3 linked regions of the Xenopus tropicalis genome follow. The protein of the gene in region 2 purifies or fractionates together with the protein of the main gene of each other region. This does not show direct contact. Links are inferred from orthologs where the notes say so. Each region holds a gene or a part of one and is shown on either strand. Other genes may lie near its edges. The genes, in order: mkks, bbs12 and bbs7.

Evidence for each region.
Region 1: the proteins of bbs12 (region 2) and mkks purify together in Homo sapiens (co-immunoprecipitation; 4 studies listed by BioGRID and IntAct, counting the BioPlex papers as one, with this or other methods). This does not show direct contact. The link is inferred for Xenopus tropicalis from reciprocal best matches to the Homo sapiens genes BBS12 and MKKS.
Region 3: the proteins of bbs12 (region 2) and bbs7 purify together in Homo sapiens (co-immunoprecipitation; 3 studies listed by BioGRID and IntAct, counting the BioPlex papers as one, with this or other methods). This does not show direct contact. The link is inferred for Xenopus tropicalis from reciprocal best matches to the Homo sapiens genes BBS12 and BBS7.

Annotation. Positions count from the first base shown.
Region 1 is NC_030681.2:26,752,333-26,759,130, forward strand, and holds the end of mkks (McKusick-Kaufman/Bardet-Biedl syndromes putative chaperonin), read right to left. Parts: intron 5,260-6,798; coding exon 5,149-5,259; intron 4,278-5,148; coding exon 3,837-4,277; 3' UTR 2,677-3,836; downstream 1-2,676. UniProt on the Homo sapiens protein: Probable molecular chaperone that assists the folding of proteins upon ATP hydrolysis. Plays a role in the assembly of BBSome, a complex involved in ciliogenesis regulating transports vesicles to the cilia.
Region 2 is NC_030677.2:65,984,557-65,992,824, forward strand, and holds bbs12 (Bardet-Biedl syndrome 12 protein), read right to left. Parts: upstream 5,565-8,268; 5' UTR 5,409-5,564; intron 5,403-5,408; exon of another isoform or gene 5,312-5,402; intron 4,588-5,311; 5' UTR 4,558-4,587; coding exon 2,527-4,557; 3' UTR 921-2,526; downstream 1-920. Other genes in the region: cetn4 (centrin 4), read left to right, coding at 5,764-5,766, 7,345-7,500. UniProt on the Homo sapiens protein: Component of the chaperonin-containing T-complex (TRiC), a molecular chaperone complex that assists the folding of proteins upon ATP hydrolysis.
Region 3 is NC_030677.2:66,815,127-66,821,924, reverse strand, and holds part of bbs7 (Bardet-Biedl syndrome 7 protein), read right to left. Parts: intron 5,837-6,798; coding exon 5,762-5,836; intron 5,360-5,761; coding exon 5,294-5,359; intron 5,069-5,293; coding exon 4,929-5,068; intron 4,242-4,928; coding exon 4,077-4,241; intron 3,056-4,076; coding exon 2,946-3,055; intron 1,709-2,945; coding exon 1,605-1,708; intron 566-1,604; coding exon 442-565; intron 77-441; coding exon 1-76.

The sequences.
Region 1 (6,798 bases), on a different chromosome or scaffold from region 2:
CATTCATCCATCTCAGCCGACACGTGTTTATTGGTTGCCTTTAATGCTATGCTAGGGATTTTCTTGATATCTTCTTTTTTTATTTGGAAAAATAGAGGGCTAGAAGATCAATTACATTACTGACAGTGATTATAGATACAATAAACACTATTATAGTGCACAGGGCTCTATTTTTTTTAGGATATTTTTTTCAGTGGCTCTAAACCCATATCAAACAATTTGCTTGATAAAAGGTCAATATAATTCTGGGCCACTTTCCAAAATATATGAGATAGAATTGTATGCCTTAGAGCAGTGATGTGAAGCAGAACATGTTGCTCCCCAACCCCTTGGCTGTTGCTCTCAGTGCCCCCAAACCAGGGAGTTATTTTTGAATTCCTGACTTGGGGGCAAGTTTTGGTTGAATACAAAGAAGATTTCCTACCAAATAAAGCCCCCTGTAAGCTGATAGGGTGCATAGAGGCTGCCTAATAGCCAATCACAGCCCTTATTTGGCACCTCCATGAACTTTTATGACACTTGTGTTGCTCTCCAAATCTTTTTACATTTGACTGTGGCTCACGAGTAAGAAAGGTTGGGGACCCCTGCCTTAGAGTTACATTTGCTTGCATTATGCAAAATGTTATATTTGGGCTTTAAGCACTTAAAAAGGAACAAAAATGTGAACAACTGAACAACTCCAATCAAGTTTTTGGAGTTGTTTATGGTAGCTTCCAGTGCCCAAGTACTTTACTTTAGTACAGTATGGACCATGCATAGCAACATACGAGAGAGAAATAACAATATAGTATAGCACTGTTATACACTAGTATATAGTATAGTACAGGTATAGGACCCATTATCCAGAATGCTCGGGACCAAGGGTATTCCGGATAAGGGGTCTTTCCATAATTTGGATCTCCATACCTTAAGTCTACTAAAACATTAATAAAACATTAATTAAACCCAATAGGATTGTTTTGCATCCAATAAGGATTATTTATATCTTAGTTGGGATCAATTACAAGGTTCTTTTTTATTTCTACATAAAAAAAGGAAATCAGTTTTAAAATTCTGAATTATTTGCTTATAATGGAGTCTATGGGAGACGGGCTTTCCGTAATTCGGAGCTTTCTGGATAATGGGTTTCCGGATAAGGGGTCCAATACCTGTACAGTACTGTTACACTATATGGCTAAAAGTATATGGAAGCCTGCCTGCCTGATAGCTTAATCCAAAACCAAATGTATTAATATAAAGCTGCTTCTACCATCTACTCTTCAGGGAAGGCTTTCCACTAGATATTAGGACATTGTTGGTGGGAATTGGTTCAATTGGTTTCAGGTACTGAAATTAGGAATAAGGCCTCACTCACATGGATGTTCAAGTTCACCCGACAGATGTTCGGTTGGCAAGAGATCAGGGCTCTTTGCAGGGCAATTAAGTTCTTCCAATCCTATCTCAGCAAACCTACTGTGTATGAACCTTGCTTTGTACATTATGGTGCCTTCGTTAAACTACCCAGCTCAGAATTGTCAAGAATGTCAATGTATGATCATACACTTGTGTCAGCAAGTACTTTTGGTCATATAGTATACCTTTACAGTGCAGAATTCTCCCTTCTCCAGCCTCTCTCCTACCCTAGAGCAGGCAGGGATGTAGGGATGTGATTGGGCAGAAGGGCGAGGGGGAAAGCGTTGGTTATGCATGCCTGGCCCCTCCAAAGATTTTTTTGTTGTGGGGCCCTGCATCACATAGTTACCCTGCATCACATAGTTACCCTACTGCTTATGACCCTCCCTATTTCTATCTCTTTAAAAATGATCCAAAGTAAAGTATAATAATGGAACTGGGAGAAAATATTTTCTGTGCTACATCACTTTCTATACCTATTCTGCATAGTGGTACAACACAGAGAATGGGTTTTATATTAGACCTTACCATGTTGTTTGATAACCTTACAGGTAGTACATACAGCAAGGGACCTACTAATTATGCTGTTTAAAATAAATTATTTTAAAACACTTTGGTGTTACTGTTCCTTTAAGAAAAAATGGGGAACTAAAGCACCATAAGGAACAGATTTCTACGACTGATAAAAACAAATACATTCCAGGCACTTTATGAGGAGATGCTACATTGCTGCTAGACCTTACAGAGCCTCTCCAGAGGATTTCTACTTGATTTGGCTACCCATGAACTTGGCTAAATAAGGCTGATTGGATTATTGGCCTCATTGACTCTCTGAAGACCCGTTATGAAAGGATGAATCAATGTGGCCCTCACCCAAGGAAATCTTCAAACATGTCTAATAAATATCAAAGATGCAGCCTGTCGAGAAGCTCCCATATAAGAATAATAAGCCGCCAAGTTGGCATTTTATTATGGATCATGTATGTCCAGCTTGACACCAAGGAATTTAGTTCGTTTCTTCTCCTTCTACTTCATGGTAAGTAAGTAGATTTACCCTATGATCATGTTTCCCTAAGCCACTGAAGCGAGTGAGATTTTGCTGTTCTCCTGGAACCATATGACCCTGACTGTTACCCCAATATATTATTTATTTGTAACACTGTGTATATCCATGTATTTGAAGAGATGCTAAAAGAAAATCCAACCTTACACACCAACAACATTACAGTGAAACCAACTGCCCTATAGTTACAGTTAGAAAAATAATACAGACACCACCATATATGACTGTGATTTGTGAATATTTATTTACATTTATTATTAAAATGACACGGTAAAGTCTAATTAGGTTTAATTAAATACAGAATATGGGATCTGTCCTCTGGAACAACACATTAATCAATACTCTGGAATAATGCAGCTTAATTACCATGAAGTGCAAGGTACCATCTTATTATTAGGGAGAAAAAGGTAATCAGTTGGAGCTTTCCAGTAATGAATTTGCAGATAATAGATCATATGCCTATACAAGTATGGGATCTGTTATCCGCAAACCTGTTATCCAGAAATTTCCAAATTACAGGCAGGGCATCTCCCATAGACTCGATTTTAATCAGATAATTAAAAATTTAAAATAAATTCCCTTTTTCTCTGTAATTTAAAACAGTACCTTGTACTTTATCCCAACTAGGATACAATAAATCCATATTGTAGGCAAAAGAATCCTATTGGGTTTATTTAAAGTTTAAATGATTTTTAGTTTATGTGTTACCCAAAAAAGTGCAAACAGAAGAACTCACTAGTTGAAATGTTGGGTTTGGGTGCCTGAGGGAGCGGAATCACAAGAACTTGGTCAGGCACTCCAAAAGTACCAACAATGACGGTTCAAATAAAGTAAAGTAAGTACAAATGTTTATTGAGTATTACATGTCTAAAATAAAGCCCGACGTCCAAAAAAATTCACTTCAGCTGGGGGGCACATGGGACATAACTTTTCAGTTAGTTTGTGAGCACGCGGGTCAGATTCAATTAGTGCAAACTAAATGAACAGTTATGTCCCATATGACCCCCCCTCAAGTCACTGATTGGTTACTGATGGCTAACAGCTTAGAGAGCTGTAAAGGAGGTATTAGTGATCTGGCTATTATGTTAGGCATTTGCTCACTCCAGCCTTTAGAGATTACATTTTTGGCTTACTTTTAGAAATATTTTTTATTCAGTTTATCTTACCCAGTTTAATTTTACACTTAAATGTTCCTTTAATGACTCGATAGTAATATATTTACCACAACTCCCAACATTTAAGTTTTAATCAGTAGAAACATCACATGGTATAAGGTAATTTGCCATAGATAAGACCCCACCCACTGTAAAATATCTCTATAGCAAGGTGAGTTTTACAATCAAATTTTTCACTCCGAATACACTTGTTTAAGAAACAGGACTTAATTGGGATCTTCAATTACATATGACAGGTCCAGAATTAAACTGGCAGTGTTAACAGCCACTTGTAAGGCGTTACATTTTGCAGCAAAACAGTCAAAAACAAACTTGTCCGACTTTGGGTATAATTGTTTTTCTGTGCTCCCCTGAGGACAGAATGGTTCGTACCTACTTCCCAGAGCACTGCACTTTAACCCTTCTAATTTCCTGTGCGTTCCACACCCGCATTGCTGCCCAGTATCTGAGCAATGGAAATCCACAGCACCATCAGGAGCAGCAGACCAGCAATGACCCATCTGTAGATCAATGGACATTTCTCCTCCGTCGTGTTCCAGATTTCGTGCTAGAGCCTCTAATGAGATGCAAAAGCAATCGGCCACCAGCTGGTACTCTGCCGCTGTGCAGTTCAGCTCTGTCAGGCCACTGCTGTGCATATTGGCACTCTGAAACAGAGTAAAATCACAGCTAAGCTCTAGCTAATACTGGATAGATATTAACTACTTCTATGGTCATAATGTTTATATACTCAGAGGTTTGTTAGTTATAACGGTTTGGAAAATCACTTGGACCTGACACATTAGCTACAGCTTTATATACAAATATATATATATATATACAAATATATATATATACAGCATGAAATAATCCATGGCCGGCACACCCTTAAAATTCAAAAAATTTTTTTTGGCTGTGCACCCCACAGAATACTAAAGCCTTGGAGTGCAGACACCATCAGGACTGATATATATATATATATATATATATATATATATATATATATATATATATAAATATGTGTGTGTGTGTGTAACTAAGTACATATGCTGACTGCCTAGAGATAGAGTTTTATATTATGGTGCATCCAGACACAAAGAAAACAATACCAACCTGAAGACCATTATCAGTGAAGCCTCTGGTATATTCCCAGTACAGAAAATGTGTATGCAATATATATTAGAAATGCTTTACTTAAAACAGCAATGGAGCATGATAAGTAGGATGCTCTTTGAAACAGGGGTAAAAAAATGAAATTATTTATCTTGTTCACTAAATATAGTCATTAACAGTCACAGCATGATTAAATTGGCCCATGGTGCACGCTCCTGTGTGCAACAGTAACTAAAAGCCCAAAAAAAGGTGGGAGGGGATATATAAGGGTGTACAGGGTAGCTGCAAGCTATTTCCTACATGCTGAATTATCTCTAACAAGGATGTCCAAGCTCAGGGTCATTTATTTCTTAATTACAATCTAGCTTCTGGCTTTTGATGGGGTGCATTAAATTAGACAGTTCTATTTTGCAGTAATAATTTTACCTTGTATCTCAGCAATGCTGCCAAGTGTGTTTCTGTGCAGCCACCACCAAGCAACACCCATGGGTTCTTAAGAGTGAGCTGTAATACACGCTCTGCTGCCTCGCAGGTCCGCTGCAATAAAAATGAAGATGTTGTTATTTATTAAATCACTGTTCAAAGCAAAACAGGTTAATAACTGTATAAATCACCCCATTCACTTAATGATCCAGACAATTTTGGAATTAACTTTAAAAAAAATGGTACCGTTGGACAATTCAGTAATTTATAATTGGTCTCCAGTTCCAGGCTGGAACAGAAGCAGCCATTCCTTTATCTCCTAAATTAAAAACAGTCAGTGATATATATTCTAGCCTCCCGTTAGGGAAATTGGGTTTATTAAAGTACAATAAAATAAAGTCACCAGCTAAATCTGCAAGATGTATTCTCTAGTTTTATTTTGCCATTTATCAAATATTTGTTTAATGCTGACACAAAACACCAGAATAAATATAAGAATAAGATTTTAGACTTAGTATTGTAACAAAACCATGATAAATTTGCAAGAAACTAGTTACAAGGCAGAACTACTAAGAAAAAAATAAAATATAATATGCAACAGAACTTCAGGAAAAAAAGTGCAAAACCTCACAAATTCTATGTGCTCAAAACTTTGCAAAAGTCAATAATAGTTGGTGCCCAATGACATTTATATTGCTACTGAACTTATATAAGCTCTTGAAGCTAGTCCTAGGGGCAGCTCTTATTGCTTATTTAAACAACTTTGCATACAGGGTCTGGCTGTGCTATACACCTAGTGCCAGATTGGAAATAAGGTGCAAGGTAGAGAGATTTTGGTATCACCAGGCAGCACTGTATTTATGGGCAAGGGCCAAATATCTGTGCTCCATTGAGCACATAGAGTTTAGAAAAGTGAATGGCAGGTGGTTAAGTGTAAAAAACATAAGGAGTAATTTATAATACCAGGGGGCACAAGTGCAAGAGGGTGGCCCTTAGTCACATTTACTAGCACTTCTGCCCCCCAGGGTTGCCGTTCTCTGCACAGAGTGCCTGCTGCTACTACCTTGTATCTCAGACGGGCCCCTGCCCGCCTATTTTAAATCTAGTGCATTGAATCTCTGCTCCATTAGAGAGGAATGATCAGAAAATTAGAATTTGACCAAGCAGCCACACATATAAGCCTTTTGACTTCACAAACTCACCTTTAAGCTTATGCCCAGTTGGACAACTTTCTCATGGCATTTAATCAATGTAGGAACATAAGCCAAGTGGCAGTTGATCTGGCTTTGAAAACCTTGTCAGTAATGGGTCAAAACTGCAAGTGCAAGCGATTGCTTGGATTTTTACAGATTACTAAAAGCTTTACGGGGCAGGGACCTCCTTCCTACTGTGTCTCATACCACATGGCACTTATTCCCTGTGCATATTATATATATATATATATATATATATATATATTTATTGTATTTATTTATTTATTATAACACTTGTCCTCCCTGTGTGTAATTTTGTATTTTGAAAGATTGTACAGCACTGCGTACCCTTGTGGCGATTTATAAATAAAGTTATACATACATACATACATAATGACATCCTATACAAGGTGGAACACTTACTTTACTGTTAAAAATGAAACAAAAAAAAATAATTCTA
Region 2 (8,268 bases):
TTGTATAAATCAAGAAAAAAAAAATTTGGGATTGTGGCCGAATCCAGTGTTTTAAGGATTCGAATTCGGCCGAATCCACGGTCCCGGCCCAAACCGTGTCCGAACCCTAATTAGCATATGCTAATTAAATAAATCAACTAAAAGCTGAGCCTGCAGCAAATTTTAACCCTCGGGTTCGGGATTTCGGCAGAATCCGTCAGGGTGGGTTCGGTGCATCCATAGTAAACACTAAGTAAGCTTCATCAGAAAGGTCTGTGAGTCCTCTTGAAATGTCATTGTTTTTAGTGACAATGACAATAAAGGTTATCTATCTATCAAAAGAAACACAGGATTTCTTGTCTTCTTTTGTGAACATATGTTCTTTGGTATCAGACTTCATGCTCTCAGAAAAATCCTTTAGGACACAGGTACGAGTCTTCTCGGTTTGCTCCTCTCTCCCTCTCCCTCTTCCCCTTCCTTTTCCTGCTCTACCTCCCATAAGAATTCACTCCTCCTTCTATCAGAATGTATGATCTGAGCTACAGACGCTACTGAGACTGAGCTAAAATGGCAGCTGCTATTTTAAACAAACAGATGGAGATTCCAGGGCTGTTTAGTCAGGTATGCTAAAGCTTTCTGCAGAACAAATATAGCGTTATAGCTTGCACTAATGGGGCTAATCTATTGGCAGTAACATGCCAAAATGCCTTCCCTTCTCCTTTAAGTTCCTCTTAACCAACTTTTCTATTATCTAGAAAGTAGTATTCTGAGACAATTAGCAATTGATTTCATTTTTGTTTTTTTGGATGCCTATAGCTTAGGTAGATTTGTGCAAAAGTTTAGTGCTGACTGGAGTTCAGAGGTTTGGGTAAGGGAAAGTCATATAAGTAATAGCTTACGTATTCCCAGGATAGGCCATACACTGGACATATTAAAATGTATAAAATAAATTAGGTTTGCTTTATTTTTGGCTATTGTAATAATATATGCAACACAATACCCATGGGCCCTATTTTACTTTGATATCCAGGAGGGTATGTCTTTACACAATATCACAGGAAACAAACAGGATTGATAGGTTCATTTGAAATTGTCCATTCAAAATTTGTAAATACACAAAGTTAAAAGTATTAAAAAGATATTGAAAAAATGTGTTCCCTGACAAATAAATTCTAGATGCAATACTGCAAAACAATAGGGAGCAGAAAAAGGAGTATGGAAAATGCACAGAAGAAGATGTAATGCATGTAAACTAACTGCATATTAACATCAAAATGCCAAAGGGGAATGCATAAGGTTTAACTTTAATCACTAAAAATGACAGCAACATGTAGAGGATAATGGAAATTGTAAATGATAATCACTGATAAAAGTATGTAGTACAGGTACAGGATCCATTATCCAGAAACCTGTTAACCAGAATGCTCCAGGTTATGGGAAGGCCATCTCCCATAGACGCCATTTTAATCAAATAATTCAAATTTTTAAAAATGATTTCTTTTTTTCTCTGTAATAAGACCGTGCATTGGACTTGATTCCAACTAGATATTATTAATCCTTAAAAAGGTAAAACAGTAGACTAAAGGTATGGCGATCTAAATTATGGAAACACCCCTTATCCGGAAAACACAAAGTCCTGAGCATTCTGGATAATATATCCCATACCTATATTAGTAGTGCTGGAAGAATCTTTATTGGCTGGCAGCTGCAGGATATCCCAGGGACTCAGCTTGCGAACAAAGGTAGAATATATAAATCCTGGGAGGGGGCAGAATAAATTAAATCAGATGTAAATCAGATGTAAAGTGTAAAGTATTACACATACAGCAATAACAATTTCAGTGATAGGACTGATTTCCTGCAAATGAAAAAACCACTAATGTCTTATTGCCCTTAGATGCCAATTTTCAATTAAAGATGTTCAAGGGGGTTACTGTTCATATTCGGTTTAGATTTATTTCATATTAATTATGACTGAAGCAGTATAGACACAAAAAAATTAATGGCTTTTAATAACTGCAATAACAAATGAAAAGAGTAAAGCAGTCTCCCTAAAATCAGGGAGAATCAGTTTCTGACTTATGTGGTGTTTAGAAGCTGCTAAATTGAGCCCCTGATAAGCACTAATGTCTGCTCTTATCAAAAAATTATACTCTAAAACAGGGATCCCCAACCTTTTATACCCGTGAGCCACATTCAAATGAAAAAAGGGTTGGAGAGCAACACAAGCATGAAAAAGGTTCCTGGGGGTGCCAATAAGAGCTATAATTGACAATTTAATAGGCCCCATGTGGACTGGCAGCCTACAGAAGGTTCTGTTTGGCATTATATTGGGTTTTTATGCAACCAAAACTTGCCTCCAAGCCAAGAATTCAACAATGGGCACCTGCTTTGAGGCCACTGGGAGCAACATCCAAGGGCTTGGGGAGCAACATGTTGCTCACGAGCCACTGCTCTAAAACATAGAAGGCATCAGGAAATCAAGTGTTTCTGTGCTTAAAACTAAGGATTCATAAAGTCCAAATGCAAAGTTTCTTGTTCTCAGAGCTATAGAAATAGGTATTCTCCATTTGAACTCTCTGACAAAAGTATCTGGTTATGTACAGCAGAATTGGTAATGACTTCAGCATCTGTCTGAAGCACCATAAGAACTAAATGCAAAGCTCTGCGCCATGCTTCCTGCTTTGGTATAACATTATCATACACTGGTAAACTTTGAGATGTGACAGGAATGCCGATACCATCAATAAATAATACTTTTTTAGAGTACTCATCACGAATGTAGTCAGTAGGTGAAGAGTTTTGGATTATATTTTGAAGTTCATTCTCTATAAATGTCACAGAATCCAATTCTGAAAGAAATTTGCCCATGTTGCAAAGAAGAACAGAAATATACTTGTACAAGCCCTTGGCAAGGCATCTGATAATTGGTGCTCTGTAATAAGCTGCACTTTCAGTCATCCATGATGAGAGGCAATGGAATTGGGTACTGTCATTTGCTTTGTAAGACTTTAAGGGATCTTGTACAAGCTTCTGAAGGTGGCTAATACACAAAAGTTCAATGGCTCCGGCTCCATAAAACACCTTTTCCTCGTGAAGAGCATGATGTAACCTGTATGCACATGTCCAAAATTGATCTTCTATGGCCTGCATTGTAGCTGGTGTTCTGCTGCTGAGTATAGTTGTTATCAGGTTTAGTTTCTTTGCTTTAATAGAAATAACTATTTTTTGGCCTACTTCTATTATGGAGTTTGCTTTAGTGCACAACGTGACAAAGGCCTCATTCCCCACAGAGCAGGTGTTCATTTGAGTTAGGTATGTCACAGGTTCTGCGCCAGTGCATTCAGAAAACGCTTGCAGAATATTCTGCTTTACTTGGGTAACAATAAGGATATTTCTATGAATGCACTGTTTTAGAAGAACTGGGCAAACATCACCCCTTACTAAAATTAAGTTTATATTAGCTTGAATAATTTTTTCATATGCCCTACCAATCCAAGAATCCTCTAAATTATGTTTTTCATTGCCAGCATATTCAAACACCATTCTAATGTTGTCTGGATTGTTAAAGCCCAAATGACGATGCCTTTCAGTTAATTCCCCATCTACAAGAAGGATTCTAAGTGGCTGCCCATTTAGATGTGCAATGGCAACAGCACTCTCTGGTGGGACTAAAGTAGTGTATCCAGTAGATACAGTTGTGTGCTCTTCGGACAAACCTGGTAAACTGCAAGTCTCAAGTCTAGAGATGTTGAAACTGCTTTTATCTAATAAGTTTTCTTTAATCTCTGCACATTGTAGAATAACTGCTTTTTTCACAAGGTCCATAACTGGCTGGTAACCATGAGCCAAGCCTTTAGCCAAACCATCCAGGGTTTCATTATTTAATGTAGATGTTTGAGGCTTTTCAGACACATCCCGGAAAGAACTTAACTCTTCAGCTAAGTGCCTGCTGTGAAACAGCCTTTTCCTCTGATAAGTTTGAGTTTTAGGAACATTTGTGCCAGTATATTGCAGGGACATTTCTTTACGGAACGCTGCAGGACACTCAAAAGTTGTCCTTACATTAGAAACATGAGGTAATGAAATGTTTTTTTGTTCTGAAGAACATTTGACTTGATCCCCTGAGGCTGAAAAACGCATACAGTCAATGCTATGCGCCTTCATATTTGTGCAGTCACTAGTTGCCTGGGACCTTAGAAATACCTGTAAGCATTCAACGTGCCCAATGCATGAATTTAATGCTTCCAACATAACAGAAACGATTAATGAAACAGGGATCCCTAGGTGTAAACATTCCTGTACAGCACTGCTCCATGCACCAACCATGAAGAACAAAGTCGTTGTTCCAGTTTTATAGCTTTTTTGATGTGCCTGAATCGTTTCATTAAAAAGTTGTCCAACAGCGCTAGTAAGATCCAGATTTTCCAGAAGTCGAAATGCAGAACAAGTCAATATACTTTCATGAGTAGTTTGGTCAAACACAAACTTGTATGATTTCATGGGTCCCAAAAAAGAATTTACGGATTTTGCCATGCTTAACAATTGCTGAAGTCCCTTGTGGCCCCTTATAGCCATATCAGTCAATGGGCGATTTGTCAATATCACCTGTATAAAAAAAAATTATTAAACAGAGTAATTTCATTGCCTAAAAGAAGATGCTTATTTATAAATATAGTGCAAAGATGTCTGCAAATCACTGTTCTTTGTATCCAAAATTCAGCATTTTCCCCTCACAATATCATGTAGATGCCAATGTGCTGCCACTTTGATAAAAACACACCACAAATTGCATTTGCAGCTTGCTTAGATCAATGGGGGCACAGAACTTTTATTTCCAGCAATCATTGGTGGCACAAGAATACAGAAGCATGTAGTTAAAATATATTTGTGAATAACATTTGGATGAATGCAGATTTAAGTAAATTGTTGATACAAAGGGTTATATTAAACAGTGATACCTAAAATATGGTTTTCTCATCAGCAGGAGCATAAACAGTGGTCTGAAATAGACAAATGGATTACGCAAACTTGTACTCCCCCCTTCTAATGAATGGGTATTTACTACAGGATTAGAATTTAATACCTAGCAGCAGGTCATGCAGGATAATCACTGTTTTGTATTATTTGAAAGGGAATCAAAGCAAACAAATTGATTCTAAGCCTGCACATATATTACTCATTGTGTAAACATGGTTTGTCCTGCCATTATCTAATACATAAGGAAACACAGCTAGTTAGAAATGAGCCCTGGCCCTTGGAATTATGGGGCAACACAGCAAATTCATTTGCTGCGACTAATTTCTACAGACTTCCTATCTCCTTCACTAACCTCTCTGCTTCACAGTGACATTCCCCGATCTTGTAGGCTAGCACAGGCCGCCATAGCTCCCCGCCAGACCCCCGGACATTAACAAAAACACAAATACCTAAACATTAATCTTCCATGCGCCTGCGGACCAAGACGCTGCGGAGGAAAGTGGGCGTGGATTCTCAAAGGCATTGCTGTTGCTATGGAGACGCGGCGCAGGTTATACTTTCAGTTCGTGTGGCGGGACGTCTGAGCGCCTTATGTGGCGGGCTATGGGCGGTTCTGTGGATGTGGGTGGGGCTAATGAGGAACTGAGAATCCAGGGATTGGATTAGATCGTAACTAGGAACTGGTGGGTGGGGCTGGTAGCTGGGGGTGACTGCCTGTTGGTGGTGTGGTTACTGTGACTGGGAAACACAAGTGACAAGAAAAGGAGTCGGGAAGGTGCTGTATTTGGGCTACTCCGATCAAAAATGGTACGTTCTGCTGCGGCTGCTGATATATTTCTCATTGTAGCTTTCAATTGATTTTATGTGCAGTCACAGTAAAGACTAGTGATTTACGTTCTACCGCCTACTTGCCCATTGGTGTAGTTTAGGACAACTGGAGACATCAAAGCTTTATTTTGTCTTGTTCTGTGCGCTTGATGGGGAAAAAGACGCTATGCGCTATTTTGCAGCATACTGCGCTAATATTGCATTAGGATAAAGTAATGTTGCACCTGCCTGCAGCTAATTCCAGTTCAGTTGTATGGAGTGAATGTGACGCAGTAGATAGTATCAGTCAGAACCTACAATTTATGTTTTGTGCCTTCCAGCCATCATTTCAGTACTGTGCCGACTGACTACTCCGAGGTGCACACTGATTGGTCCAATTACTTGTATGTTTATTCTGGGCTTTGGCCCTATCTCTTTAGGGGTTGCACAGTGACCCCATACATTTGGAGAGTACCTACCATGCTGCTTGTAGTTCTAGCCTAATAAATGTGTATTAGAAAATGCTTTCTCCAACAGTCTTCTAATTTAGTTGGAATTGGCATTTTGAAAGGTTTAAATGCAAGATGTGTCTTACTTTCTAGATCTAGATCATTATGAGGAGATGCAGCCCCCAGTCAATGCTTTACAGGGCGCTGTCAGTCTTGGAGACTAATATTTAACTGAGCCATGCATCAGAACTCAACACATTACATAGAGAGCGTTGACACTTCCCTCTGGCATTATGTTTATAGCTTTTAGATAAATATTCCCTGGTGTTGACAGTATTTGTAATTTAATGATAGATTTGATCACTCAGGTTTCTGAAAAGTGAAATAAAGCATAAAAAGCAACATATTTCACATGTTTACGTGTAATAAATGGATCATACAGGGGCTTCATAAATAAGTTAGAGTATATTGTGTTTAATGTAGCTCTTTTGGGCAGGGCTCTCTTCACCTCTTTTATAGCTTATTGATTGCTTTAAACTGGCCATACTCGGGCAGATCTGCTCGCTTGGCGATGTCGCCAAGCGAGCGGATCTTCACCCGATATCCCCACCTACGGGTGGCGATATCGGGGAGGCATGTAGGTGAACTCGATCGTTTGGCCCTGATATCGGCAGCTTCTATCGGCCCGTGTATGGGGACCTTTATATGTTACTCTGTATGTCCAATGTATGAAACCCACTTATTGGACAGCACTGCGGAATATGTTGGCGCTTTATAAATAAACGTTAAAATAATAATAAAGTGGGGTGACCAGATCATTTGACAATTCGGGGAATTTCTAATAAATACATGTTGTAGGACAGCACTGCTTGCATTTAAAATAATCTGCGGTCAGTTCAGCCTTGTTAATTGTTAAATGGACCTGGTCACCCTAGTTTTGTGTATTTAGGGACATTCTAGATTTTTGTATTTAGGGACATTCTAAATTTGTGTATTTAGGGACATAAGAATTCAGTTCTATTATGGTCTTAGTATAAAGTTTTACAGAAGCAAGCAAGCATTCGTATTTATTTAGTGAAATATGCATACTAATCCAACTAATCCTGTTCCCTTCCACGCCTTTCTTTAGGCCTCTGTTCTTCGTAAGCCTGGGTTAGGTGCCACTCAGCGTAGGAGAATAGGAGCAAAACCTGAACTAACAGAGGAACAAAAACAGGAGATCCGTGAAGCATTCGATTTGTTTGATACTGATGGATCTGGCACCATTGATGTCAAGGAACTAAAGGTAAGTTATTCATAAAACTGAACTAATAGACATAGATTTGCTCAAGAAAATATACTACAGATGACAGAAGTTCATATAGTGCACTGATTCAGTAGTGCACTTTCTGTATCTCTACTGGTACCACTGATCTACAGATCTTTGTAGCCACCAATAGTTTAAAATGTATTCAATATGCTAGGATTTATGTGCAGGAGCTCTTTATTAGTGTATATTTTATGAAGGGCAATAACACAACCACAAGGATTGATCAGTAGCAAGTAAATTACCACTCCAGTTTCTGGTTCACCTGTATTGCTTTGTTATCATTCTAAACTCAGGTTTTAGTTTTTTTACATAATTTTGTATAAATGACAAACTGGGGGGAAGTTCTCCTAGGAACAAATAATGAAATAAATCATTATAACAGAAAGATCTAAGAGGAGAACTGAGTGAACTGGAGTGAATAGTTTTTTCCCCATTATTATATATTTAGCTCTTTAGCAGAGCTCTGCAGCTTTCATCTTGTAATACATTGTATGATGTTTCCAGAGATCACTAAAAAAATCACTACTGGGTTCCACATCTTAAAGCACAAATTACCTCCAGACCAGTATGCTCTATGTGGCTCTTTTCTGAAACCTTAAGATACTTGCCTTGATAGTTTAACTCTTCTATTGGACAGTATTACAGAACAGTAACAAAGCTTAGAGACATCCTATAAATTAAAATAAATAATCTATTTTTGATTAAAAAAATATTTATCTGCAATAGACTGTGCAGTGGCATCTG
Region 3 (6,798 bases), about 830 kb from region 2:
AGCAAGAGGGGAACCTTCGTTTTCACATTTGTGCCCTTGAATTTGAACTTGTCAATGAAGAGATCTGTGATCATACCTGCAAAAACAAACAAACTATAGTGAACCGCTGGCTACTTTATTTATATCAGTTATTTAGTTATATCAGCCTTGTAACAACCATCTGCCCCAAATTTGTAAAGACGATACTGACTCAGTTTGCAGTTTCGGCATTGTCTAAACTACTGTGACATCCTCTTGTCAACTGCAGTAGTGCTCCTGTTATAAGTTTGTAATTATAATCACAATGTACATCAGATGTAACTGGGGGTGTAGTCTGTAGATCAGGGCTGTAAGTGAGACTTGTTTGTAGTGGGATAAATCCCTTTATACCATAGAAAAGGGAAGTTCTGTTCATTTTGGGTAAAATATGGGGACCACATATTAAAAACCATCAAAACCCACCATAAAGCCTTTCAAGATGTGCAGGTTGCTTCTTGTATTCTTCCTGAAGTTTCTCTGCCTCTTCTAAAATAGAACGGTACTCTGGGATCAGAAAGTCTGTGTTTCCTTCATGAACTTGCAGCTCCTATTGTACAAAACCAAAATTAAATAGTTCAGCAATCATTTCAAGCCCATTTGCAGAGCATTCGTATCCTGTAGAACAGGGGTGGGCAAACTACAGCCCGCGGGCCACATCTGGGCCGTTGGCCTTTTTAATCTGGCCCGCCAACTCCGGCCCCCTTAAAAGAATGACGGGCCTTTATTGGTTGCGCCCCGTGCGTGCGCATGACGTCACCACGCATGTGGCGCAACCATATAAAAGGATGCAGCAGGGAGCCGGGGGGACAGAAGCAGCCAAGGACGGAGGAAGCAGGGGGTCACTGGAGGAGGGAGCTGCAGGTCGCGGGGGGGGGGAAGATGAAGGATGCTGGTGGGAGGATTTTGAGGAGATGCTGGGGAGTGGAGCTGGAGGATGCTGGGGTGGGGAGCTGCAGGATGCTGGGAGGGAGCCCTGAACTGCCACTGCTTTTGTGAAAATGCAGGGAGTGGGTGTGAGACTATAAGCCACAAACTGAGGATTACTTTACCATGAACCTGAAAAAACTTTTTTGGCTCTCCCAGACTGGAACATGCTACATGTTATCAATGCCTTTTTCTAAAGTGCCTATGATTTAATCTTTGGTAAAATGAACAGGTGAGAGGGACAATGAGACAAAATAGTGAAATCCTTCCCACAAAGGGAAATGACGAGGGCAAGAGTCTCACACCAGCCAAGCTTAGGGTGTCAGATGGGTATGCGACAGTAGAACCTGTTACCAACAAGACACAGAAAGGCTAGAGCTGGCTGGTGTAATTCTAGAAAATGCAGAGAAGGGAAAACCATGTGTCAGCCCTGTTGATATCAGTGTCTTGCTTCTGTGAGAAAAATGCTTTACCACAATGATTACCTCAACCCCCAGTGCCCAAAGGAGAAAAGTTGCTTTTATGATCTTAAAGTTGGGGTGTGTAATCCAACACTGGCTAGCATGCTGACATTCATGATTTTGAAACATAGACAGACCCATTGATAGCTAATTAGCTAAAAGCTCACACAAGAAGAAATGCTCCTAACACATATTACCCACCTTCAGAGCATCAATTAATTGTACTTTTTTGGCTAAGAGCAATTGGTACTCCAGTTTTGGATGAATCAGTTTCAAAGTGTGCCCAACAGATTCTTCATTTATATCTGCACAAACCAAAAGAAGAAGTGAGGCAAAAGTTAGTTTTATATGATGACTGCAAAAGCTTGCTACACATGGAGGAACCGTAACATTCATTCTAGTAATTACTATCCAAACTGCATTAACATTCATTAACATTACCCTTGAGCTCAGGAAAAGTGAACAGCTCTTAAAAAATAATGTTAAAAGGCCATAACATAAATTTGTTTTCTTTTACATTATAAAGTTCTAGGTTTGTTTCTTAGCAGTAAAAGCCATGTTTTATACCAGAAGTGCCATTACTGACATTTTAACAATTTATCTTCCCTCAAAGGGGCAGTAAACACCTTGGCTTGAAAATAGCACAATAAATAAAACAGGGTAATATTTCAAAGGGAGATAATGAGCTTTGTATAAAAAAACCCCGCTAATACCTAAGCTGCAGCCTTTGTAATAAGGAATAGCTCATTTACAAAGGGAATCTGTATTACAGGACATGTAAAGTCTATTTTATGGAGGGGTTCCAAAATGTTAGGCCCCCTAAGTGAAATAGGTTGCTATATTATTTTCCCAGGTTGGTGCTCCTGTTAGAAGAGAATCTTAAAAGCCTGTGGAAAAAACTGTCTGAGCGCCATGCCGCCAATTTACTTACCATTTACCGGCCACTGCACTCAAATAAGAAAGTAAGGTAAGGAGATGCCGGTGCGGTGCTCAGACAGTTTTTTCTACAGGTTGGTGCAGTTCCCTCCAGGAGCACCAGCCTGGGGAAAAACTTAGCAACCTATTTCACTAATTTGAGAAACAAGTCAGTAGTATTAAAGGGATATAAATTCAAAAATAACATTTAACTGTTATTTTCAATATAATAATTTTCCAGTATACATTCATTAAAATATTTTAGTATTTTATATTTTTGATGAAACTAAATACTCTTTCAGATAAAATGAATATGGATTTGAAATATTTTCTTTTTACAATGAATATAATTTCTATTTTCTAATATATTTATAATAAGGCATCAACATTTCCTAACTAGATGGCACACATAACTGAACTACTTGAAATATCTCCAGACTCGGTAACAAACAGCTTGTGTTAGTCTGCAATACAAAGGTGGAGATATACTGCACTATAAAAGATTACAAAAAGTATATTAAGAAATAAATACTCACAAAAGTAATACATTTCAAGAACAAGAGCACTGAACAGTGGAATGTATGTTTGTATAAGGCTAGGTAAGGGAAAGTAAATTAGACAAAATACCATATGATATGTTGAGATTAATCTTTCTTTTAGTGGCTTCTTTTGACAGCACATCTTTCAGGATAGAAATTGTTGATATATTGTCAGATTTAAATAATCCTTCTCCCTTTCTGTGATAAAAAAAAAGAGGTGAGCATGAATGACAATGCTATATATATGTATAATATATTATATATAGGTTTCATTTCCTGTGGAAGTCCACAGAAGACATTTCAGTGACAACATATATATATTTTTTTAATGAACATAATATTTTGATGCTGCACAAGACCCACTGACTGAAGTACTTTTGTTTTAACAAGTTTTGATACAGGTATGGGTTCAGTTATCCAGACACAGTTATCCAGAAAGCTCCAAATTACAGGAAGGCCATCTCCCATAGACTCCATTTTAATCAAATGATCCAGATTTTTAAAAATGATTTCCTTTTTTTTTTTTGTAATAATAAAACAGTACATTGTACATGATCGTAATTAAGCTGCACTAATTCATATTGGAGGCAAAACAAACCTATTGGGTTTATTTAATGTTTAAATGATTTTTGTAGTAAGGTACAGAAATCCAAATTATGGAAATATCTGGAAAACCCCAGGTCCCAAACATTCCGGATAACAGGTCTCATACCTGTAAATGGATTGCACATTCTGGAACATTATATATAACAGTCCTGGTTATATTGACCACGAATAAGAAAAAATTGTATTTTTTCTAATTGTTAGACCTTTTCGTATTTACAACAATATCGTTAAAATAGTAAGACTTTTTCGTGGTTTTCGTTAAATTCCACAAAAACTTTGTATTTTTTGCAAAGACTACGACAATTTCGGAATTCATTTAAGCTTTGGTATTGTGACTTTTTTTTGGCCAGGTTGGAGCTGTAGAGTGTCATTGAGTCCTATGGGAGGCTTCCAAAATCATGCATTTAAGTTTTAAAGCCAGAAAGGATCTCGCACCTTTAACGATCGTTCGGATATGAACATTTTGTGACTTTCGGATCGCAACCACGATATTTTCGTATGACCAAAAAAAGAATTTTTGCACATTAGAAATTATTGTGGTTACTCCAAATTTTTTCCAATCGTGCTTTTAATTGGCGGAAATGATTCTGAAGAACCCAGTTTTACAATTTACCTGTATGTACATTCGAGCTGCGTTTCCAGAAAGGTATTCTTGAAGTAAAAGGTGACGTTCTCTCCCACTGGAGTTTTCTCAGGGACTTCAGGTAAACAAAATACAACCCAGGAATGCATGTCTGAAAAGCTGAACTGGCCAGTCAGGCTCACCGTGTTCATGGGCCTGAAATACATGCACATATCATTACTGTCAGTCTAGCATAACTCATACTCTCATCCACTTTTGGTCTGTTCCTTCATGAAGCTTTATTTATTTAATTTTAAATATATGTTCCCTTCCAAAATAGTAAATATATTTAAAGAACAATGAGCCAAAATAAAAGGTGGAGATGTTTGATAACATCAAACTTTAATAGATGATAAGTTCTGCCAGCCTGTGCTCTTCTTTATTAAAAAAAATCCTCTACCTGTCCTAATATTGTATCTGACTGTGTTGCCATATTAGTGAGTCAGGCATTGTTTAATTGCTCATACATGTGCAATACAGAGTCTAATGGGCTTAAGGGTGCTAATGTCACCTTCCTAAAGATCCAAGAATATCTACAAGAGCAATGTGCTCAGCCCAAATATCTACTACCTGACTTTCAGGGTGGCATTTGATTTGTTTCTGAAAGCAAATAAGCAGTCATCTCAAATCACACAGAAAGCTAGCCTTCAGGCTAGACTGATCTATCATTTACTTAGGCCTCACTTGAGGTAATAATGTTGCTCAACAGTTGTAAACCTCTGGGTGGAGGCATAGCCTTATTGAAGTGCTGAACTGCTGATTCATTATTTTTCTTCAATCAAACACACAATACTTTTGGCTTTCCCATGCAGTGTAGAAAAAAACATTTCTGGCACAGTGTACCTGTTCTGATCAATGGCATGAGCCCTTTGATGAAGTGACAAAGGCTTAATCTGGTACTGGCGGACTTGGCAAGTTTTTGGTTGAATGCGAGGTGTAATATATGCTTGCAGGGTTCCATACTGTCCTTCGATAGACCGAATCTGTTTTAATAAATGAAAAAATAAATCAGCCTTAATGCAAAAAAAAGAGAAAAAAAAGGTAACCTGCAAAAAACACTACGGATAGTGTGCAATCCCAGCTGCTATAAGTAAAGATATATATAGAGAGAGATAGTAAGAGAAGAGGGAGAGAGTATTACACATGTACACTCGATCTGGGTTTTTCATTCCTACTTTACTTGAAATAAATCTAAATGCTTGTTTTACCTTGAGTTCAAGCCGTGTGGTGTTAGCTTGGCAACGATAGGTAGCAAGAAGGAAGTTGCCATTTGGCTGTAAGAAAGATTTAGAAATAATCAGCTAAGAATTATTACAAAACTTTTTCAATACGAATGTAAAGCTCAGAGAAACCAGAATCACATACACATATCTGAGCAATGGATACTCTGCTTGCTGCTGAATTACCTTCAACCTTCTGGCACATTGCCACCAGAGGCAGCAGAGCCAAAGCCAATCCCTCCCACTTTCTCCTAGCTCTTCTGCACTCACTAATTCTTCTTAAAGTAAAGTGCTGCCTAAAGTACATTATTTACCTTGCCTCATACCAGAAGCGTCACTGTAATGTGTGAGATATCTGAGCAAGTGTATAATTTCTCATGTACATAAATGATACAATTTCCTGCTGAAGGGTTTAAATGAAGATGCCTCTTAGATCCTCGCACAAGTACTTCTCACCTCATTATCACAGCCGCTGAAGCTGACCACAGCTGAATTCTTGTCGACATCCAGCAGATCCACAGGGACGTCACTCTGTAAACATCAATATCATGAGCACTGTGATACCTCTCACTCCACTCCACAGGCTGAAAAACATCTATTCTTACTGTGGATTCACAATACTATTGATTTGGCTATTTTTTTTAACCACATTTGAGGTTTAATTGCCATGTAAAGATCACCTTGAAGAGAAACCAAACCTTATATAATAAATAAACCTTAAAACATGTTGCTGCAATGTTGAAGGCAATTTGTATATATTAAAATGACTGCACTGATGCCGGTAATCTACATATCTTTCTTCCTGTTTTATACTCTCACTAAAGCAAATAAGAAGCTGCCTGTATAGAGGCTGTCTCAGGCATTCAGATTAAATACTATGCCAGTAAATGTGCATTGAATACATAATATGTACTTATTGGCAGAACAGTAGTTCACAGGTTAGATTTTCCTGTTCAAGTAGTAGCTACAACCAAACCATATATATAATATTTAAAAGGGGTTGTTCACCTTCAATGTCCAAATAATTTTAAACCACCAACAATGCTCTCAGCAGGTTAGAAAATCCATTTTCCACAAAAAAAGTAAAAAGGCCACTGTTTAATCTATTTTGAACCTGACACACTTAGAACTTCCTATATGCTTACACCATCATGTCCGGGCTTTGCCCTCTTTTTTTTCTACTGGACTAATTCATTGGTTGCACTCTAACCAGTTACATAAGTTGAAAAGTCATTGGTTAATTTCTCTCTTGCAATGGCATAGGCAAACAGACTCAGCATTTAACAAATCTAACATGCTGTTGTGTAAGACTTGCAGCATTCTGCCACAGGCACAGGAAGCAGTGTCAGACTGACAGGAGACACATCCAATAAGAATCTGCTGCCAGTACTATGTGTGGCATCATATAAGGAAGTGAAATAGCAACTAGTGCAGAAGTGAAGGTACAGCAGTGGGATGATTCTGAGATGATATGTTTTCAGATGCACATTTTT